Linked DNA regions of Macaca fascicularis. The protein of the gene in region 2 interacts with the protein of the main gene of each other region in a biochemical or structural test. Links are inferred from orthologs where the notes say so. Each region holds a gene or a part of one and is shown on either strand. Other genes may lie near its edges.

Region 1 (3,518 bases), on a different chromosome or scaffold from region 2:
TAAGACGTACGTTAATTGAGCCTAATTTAGCTCTGAGTTTCCTGGTGGCCAAAGCAAAGAAAGAAATACCCGTTGTATGTTACTAATGTAAAAGAGAAACAAACTTTTTCATTCGAAGAGAGACTAGGTGGAGGGGTGGAGAAAGAGGGGGAACTGGGCAGAGGCCAAGCAGGGGAAAGAGAAAGATTTCAGACAAATGGGAGAATGTGAGCCCCCACTAAGACAAAAGACCTTAAGAACATAACAGAAGCTTCTCATCACCAGATGAGCCTGAATAGTAATTTTTTCCCCACCAAATAAGCACATGACGGTTTTTTTAAAAGCCTTTCATTGGTCCTGCTGGTAGTTAATGAAAAAAATCCAATAAGAGTATTACAGAATTTCATACAAGTTTATGGCACGTGTAGCACCGACACTCCGGTAGACCCTGCGAGGGAGAGGGAGGAGAAACTCCGACCTCGAGAGGCTCACAACAATAGTTGTGTCTGGGTGGAAAAGCTACCAATGGTCCTGAGCAGTAGATAAGTGACAGGTAGCCAGGGTTCCTGGGACCGCTGGAACTTATCATTTGAACCGTCCTGGGAGGCCGGGGGGTGGTTGGAGAGACCGAGAAGGTCTCGAGGAGCGCGCGCGCAAACGCTGGGACTGGGGCAGCCCGCGGCGCTCAGGTCTGGGCCCCTGCCGGGCAGGTGAACCTGGTGTCGGAGCACATCTGGTGCGAGGACTTTCTGGTGCGGAGCTTCTACCTGAAGAACGTGCAGACCCTGGAGACGCGCACGCTCACGCAGTTCCACTTCCTCAGCTGGCCGGCAGAGGGCACACCGGCCTCCACGCGGCCCCTGCTGGACTTCCGCAGGTGAGCGCGGGCGCCCCCGCCTGGAGGGGCCGCCTGGGCGGGGGCGGAGCCGAGGTCCGCCCGCCAGCTCGGCCTGGAGCCCCGGGTCGGGCCTGGAGCCTTGGCCTCTGACTTCTGGCCGCCCCCTCCAGACCCCACGCTCCCACCCCTAAAACCAGGCCTGAGGCTCCGGCTGTGCCCGTCCCCGCGGCTCCACCACCCGCGTGGGCCAGCTCCGCGCCGGCCGCTGCTGCTCCGCTCCCTCTCTCTCACGCTCCCGGGACTGGCTCCTTCTCCTCCACCTGCTTCCTCCAGAGGGCCTTTCGCTTTCTGGTTCCCCTCCCTCTCCGGGGTCCCTGCTTCCTGTCTCCTTCCTGGTCCCTCCTGCCCCGCTGTCTCCAGGCCCTGCACTGCGCTGCCTCGCTGCCCCCTCCGTCTCTCACTCCTGCCTGCCCGTCTCCCACCATCCCTCCTCTTCATCCCTCGTTCATCCCTCTCCGTCTCTCCGCCTCTCTTTTTTTTATGTGGCTTTCATTCCTTTTACTTTCCTCTTTCTTCCTCTTCTCTCTCCCCATCTCTGTCTCACTCTGTCTCTGCCTCACCCTTTCCTTCTCTCTCCATTTCTCCCTCTCTGCCCCCTCCCCTGTTTTTCTCCACCTCCCTCCCCTGTCTGCCAGTTTCTCTCTGCCACTCTGTCCGTCTCTCCCTCTCCCTCCCCCTGCGTGTCTTTCCTCTCTCTGTCCTTCCCTCTCCCTTCTTCCCTCTTTCTCTCTCTCCCTCACAGCTGCCAGTGTCATTTTTGTGATCTGCAGCTAGTATTCTCACTCCAGTTGCATAGTCACAAAAGTGATCATTGGCAGGTGTGGCTGCTGCATGGACAGACAGGACATGTGGCCCGGGGACCACCCCGAGCTGGGAGCAAGGGGGACAGGGAAGAGGCAAAGATTGTCAAAAGGAGTGTGGGAGGATCTCTGGATTCTGGGGCGCTCAGTGGAGCAGGTGGGGACTAGACAGGGGCTACCTGAGGGGCTTACCCTTTTCCAACACTGACACCAAGACAGGTCAGCCCTCCAGCGTCCCCTGCCTTTCCCAGCCCCAGACAGGTACTTGGGAAGCCTGCCACCAAGGGCAGGGGCCCACCCGCACTGCACCCTTCTCCTGGTTCTCTGTCCCTTGCCAAGCTGGTCTAATGTCTCTAGGTACTGGACAGAGGAGCAGAGCTGGGGGTGGGGACGTGGGTATAGTTTCTGAACCTCTGGACAGCAGTTTCTAACTGGGGTCCCTGAGGCCTGAGACACAGGCATCTTGAAAGCAGTGCCAGGGTATCAGAGCTATTTCCTTTTTTCCACATTTAAAAAATCGTGATAGAACTAGTGCATGGATCTGTTTTAAAGCTGCACGGATAAGCTAAAAGATTGCTTTAGGCTGGAATTATGTAAACTCAGTTGGCATTAGACATCCAGAACAAATAAATTGTTGCTTAATAAATGTAGTTCGGGGCCAGGCGCGGTGGTTCACGCCTGTAATCCCAGCACTTTGGGAGGCCGAGGTGGGTGGACTTGAGGTCAGGAGTTCAAGACCAGACTGGCCAACATGGTGAAACCCCGTTCTGCTAAAAATACAAAAATTAGGCCGGGCGCGGTGGCTCAAGCCTGTAATCCCAGCACTTTGGGAGGCCGAGACGGGCGGATCACGAGGTCAGGAGATCGAGACCATCCTGGCTAACACGGTGAAACCCCGTCTCTACTAAAAAATACAAAAAACTAGCCGGGCGAGGTGGCGGGCGCCTGTAGTCCCAGCTACTCGGGAGGCTGAGGCAGGAGAATGGTCTAAACCCGGGAGGCGGAGCTTGCAGTGAGCTGAGATCCGGCCACTGCACCCCAGCCTGGGCGACAGAACAAGACTCTGTCTCAAAAAAAAAAAAAAAAAAAAAAAAATACAAAAATTAGCCAGGCATGGTGGCAAGCACCTGTATTCCCAGCTACTCAGGAGGCTGAGGCAGGAGAATCTCTTAAACCTGGCAGGCAGAGGTTGCAGTGAACCGAGACCGTGCCACCACACTCCCACTTGGGCAACAGAGCCAGACTCCCTCTCAAAAAAAAAAAAAAACAGAAAAAATAAATGCAGTTCAGTCAAGCCCCCTGAGAAGGAAAACAAATTAATAAAAGAGACCCTAAGAAAGTGACCCTGAGCAAGCTCCTTGGCCTTCCTCTGTGCCCCTACCTGTGAGATGAGGATGATGACACATGCTTTAGAGCAGAGGTCCCCCACCTTTTTGGCACCAGGGACCAGTTTTGTGGAAGACAATTTTTCCATGGCTGGGAGAGGGGGGTGGTTTGGGGATGAAACTGTTCCCCCTCGGATCATCAGGCATTAGATTTTCATAAGGAGCTGGCAACCTAGATCCCTCACATGTGCCGTTCACCATGGGGTTCGTACTCCTATGACAATCTACTGCAATGGCTGATCTAATAGGAGGCGGAGCTCAGGCGGTAATACTCACTTGCCCACCACTCGCCTCCTGCTATGCGTCTCGGTTCCCAGCAGGCCACAGACTGACACCGGTCCATGGACCAGGGATTGGGGACCCCTGCTTTAGAGGGTTGTTGCAAGATTTGATGAAGTATGTAAAATCTAGCATAAGTGCCTGATACATAGCAAGGTCTCAATTAACTCTAGATGC
Region 2 (3,518 bases):
CTACTCGGGAGACTGAGGCAGGAGAATCGCTTGAGCCCGGGAGACGGAGGTTGCAGTGAGCCGAGATCGTGCCACTGCACTCCAGCCTGGCCAACAGAGAGAGACTGTCTCAAAAATAAATAAATAAATAAATAAATAAAAAATAAAGCAATCTCAGGGGCCAAGCACTTTGGGAGCCCAAGGTGGGCGGATCACTTCAGGTCAGGAGTTTGAGACCAGCCTGGCCAACACGGTGAAATCGCTGTCTACTAAAAATACAATAATTACCCAGGCGTGGTAGTGAACACCTGTAATCCCAGCTACTCGGGAGGCTGAGGCATAAGAATCGTTTGAACCCAGGAGGTGGAGGTTGCAAGGAGCCGAGGTTGCGCCATTGCACTCCAGCCTGGATGATAGAGTGAGACACTTATCTCAAAAAAAACACAAACAAAAAAACCCTCTCAGGCCAGGCACAGTGGCTCACACCTGTAATCCCAGCACTTTGGGAGACCCAGGCAGGTGGATTGCCTGAGCTCAGGAGTTCGAGACCAGCCTGGGCAACATGGCAAAACCCTGTCTCAACTAAAAAATACAAAGAATTAGCTGGGTGTGGTGGTGCCCGCCTGTAATCCCAGCTACTCAGGAGGCTAAGGCACCGGAATTGCTTGAACCTGGGAGGCAGAGGTTGCAGTCAGCTGAGATTGTGCCAGTGCACTCCAGTCTGGGTGACACAGCAAGATTCTGTCTAAAAAAAAAAAACGGGGGGTGGGGGGCCGGGCACAGTGTCTCACACCTGTAATCCCAGCACTTTGGGAGGCTGAGGTGGGTGGATCACAAGGTCAGGAGTTCGAGACCAGCCTGACCAACATGGTGAAACCTCATCTCTACTTAAAATACATAAATTAGCCAGGTGTGGTGGCACACTCCTGTAATCCCAGCTACTCAGGAGGTTGAGGCAGGAGAATCGCTTCAACCTGGGAGGCAGAGGTTGCAGTGAGCCAAGATCATGTCACTGCACTCCAGCCTGGGCTACAGAGCGAGACTGTCTCAAAAAAAAAAAAACAAAAAACAAAAAAAAACATGTGCGATGGCTTATGCCTATAATCTCCACACTTTGGGAGACCGAGGTGGGTGGATCACTTGCAGTCAGGAGTTCAAGACCAACCTGTCCAACATGGTGAAACCCTGTCTCTACTAAAAATGCAAAAAAATTAGCCGGGCGTGGTGGTGTGCGTCTGTAATCCCAGCTACTCAGCAGGCTGAGGCAGAAGAATTGCTTGAGCCCAGGAAACTGAAGCTGCAATGAGCCAAGATCACGCCACTGCACCCCAGCCTGGGTAACAAAAGGAGATTCCATCTCAAAACAAAAAAAAAAAGGACTTCTAAATCTCTCTTTTTAAAATTGTTTAGACATTGCTCTGTCACCCAGGCTAAAGTGCAGTGGCGTGATCATAGCTCACTGCAACCTTGAACTCCTGGATGCAAGTGATCCTCCCACCCAAGCCTTCCGAGTAGCTGGGACTATAGGTACACACCACCATGCCCTGATACATTTTTTATTTTTAGTAGAAATGAGATCTTGTCATGTTACCCAGGCTGGTCTCTAGCGCACCTGGCCTCAAGTGATCCTCCTGCCTCAGCCTCCCAGAGTGCTGGGATTATAGGCATGAGCCTCCACACCTGGGGTATTTGCTGGTCTTGATGACCAAAATTGTTTGTATCCTGTCAATTCAGAGGTATCCTTTGAATTGTATCTTTGATAGCATTGAATGTGTGACTTTTGCTGAGTATAGCCTTTAACTTGGATGAACATAATCTTTATCTTCATCCCAAATGCCAACCAAACCATGTCACAGCTCCTGAAAGGCCTCTCTGCCTTTGGTCCTTTGGTTGTTCCTTCTCGCCCAGTTCAGTCCTTCTGCCTGTTCCTCCCTGCCTGTCCAGTTTTACCTTTTTTTTTGAGACAGAGTCTTGCTATTGTCACCCAGGCTGGAGTGCAGTGGTGTGATTTTGTCTCACTGCAACCTCTGCCTCCTGGGTGCAAGAAGTTATCCTGCCTCAGCCTCCTGAGTAGCTGGGATTACAGGCATGTGCCACCACGCCTGGCTAATTTTTGTATTTTTAGTAGAGACGGGATTTTGCCTTGTTGGCCAGGCTGGTCTCGAACTCCTGACCTCAAGTGATCCACCCACCTCGACCTCCCAAAGTGCTGGGATTACAGCTGTGAGCCACCGTACCCAGCCAGTTTTACCAGTTCTTTAGGGTCTATCTGAAGGCCCAGCTCCTCCAGGAAACCTTTTCTTGACTTTGGCCTCATTCAGTTTGGTGTTTGCTCATGTTCTGTACATTCTGCCTTACACAGCTGGGGATTTCCTGTTTATGCTAATGCGTTTACAAAGTCCTTGAGAGCAGGGACTGTGCCTCTCTTGCTTCTCCAGTGCCCTGCACAGCCTACACACACTTGCCACTATGAGTGTTCAGTGGGTACTCATGGAATTAAACTGAATCAGATGTCAAGGAGTGTTATGGTCATTTCTGCCTCATCTCAGTCACCAAAACAAAACACACTTTAGAAGATTCCATATAGGTTCGGTATCACACATTCTCAAGAAAATATTTTTCCTATTTTGAAGTCAGAAGAATCCCGTTTCACTTGATAACTGGCATAACAACTTTACAACTAATATTTTTTGCTTTTCTCCAACAGGCTGCATGTTAAATGGCCAAGAGGTGAGGCTTACTGTTCACTATGAAAATGGGTTCACCATCTCCAGGGAAAACGGAGGCTCCAGCAGCATATTATACCGCTACCCCTTTGAAAGGCTGAAGATGTCTGCGGATGATGGCATCCGAAATCTATACTTGGATTTTGGTGGTCCCGAGGGAGAACTGGTAAGAGTGTTTCTGATTTTGGTGGTCCCGAGGGAGAACTGGTAGGAGTGTTTCTGAAACACATTTTTTTCTAATAGATGTTCTCTTTCCTTCTCATTACTTCTTACCCCTTATATACAAAATCATGGACTGACATTCCATTTAGAACCATGAAATTTTTAATTAAATTTTTTTTTTTTTAAGATGGGGTCTGTGTCACCCAGGCTGGAGTGTAGTGGTGCGATCATAGCTCCCTGCAGCCTATACCTCCTGGGCTGAAGTGATCCTCCTGCCTCAGCCTCCTGAATAACTGGAACTGGACTATAGGCGTGTGCCACCATGCCTGGCCAATTTTTGTATTTTTTGTAGAGATGAGGTCTCGCTTTGCTGCCCAGGATGGTCTTGAACTCCTGTCTTCAAGTGATCTTCCCATCTTGGCCTCCCGAGGTGTTGGGATTACAGATGTGAGCCACTGTATCTGCTGTTCTCAGTTTTCCAGATGACATTGGATGTTGGTTTTTGTTATCATTTTTCTTTTTTATTTTTTTTTGAGACGGAGTCTCGCTTTGTCACCCAGGCTGGAGTGCAGTGGCACCATCTCAGCTCACTGCAACCTCTGCCTCCCTGGTTCAAGTGATTCTCCTGCCTCAGCCTCCTGAGCAGCTGAG

The links.
Region 1: the proteins of SNTB2 (region 2) and PTPRN form a complex in vitro, tested with the Homo sapiens proteins (2 studies listed by BioGRID and IntAct). The link is inferred for Macaca fascicularis from reciprocal best matches to the Homo sapiens genes SNTB2 and PTPRN.

What each region holds. Positions count from the first base shown.
Region 1 is NC_088386.1:115,232,102-115,235,619, reverse strand, and holds part of PTPRN (receptor-type tyrosine-protein phosphatase-like N), read left to right. Parts: intron 1-689; coding exon 690-856; intron 857-3,518. UniProt on the Homo sapiens protein: Plays a role in vesicle-mediated secretory processes. Required for normal accumulation of secretory vesicles in hippocampus, pituitary and pancreatic islets.
Region 2 is NC_088394.1:65,402,624-65,406,141, forward strand, and holds part of SNTB2 (beta-2-syntrophin), read left to right. Parts: intron 1-2,686; coding exon 2,687-2,871; coding exon of another isoform or gene 2,872-2,912; intron 2,913-3,518. UniProt on the Homo sapiens protein: Adapter protein that binds to and probably organizes the subcellular localization of a variety of membrane proteins. May link various receptors to the actin cytoskeleton and the dystrophin glycoprotein complex.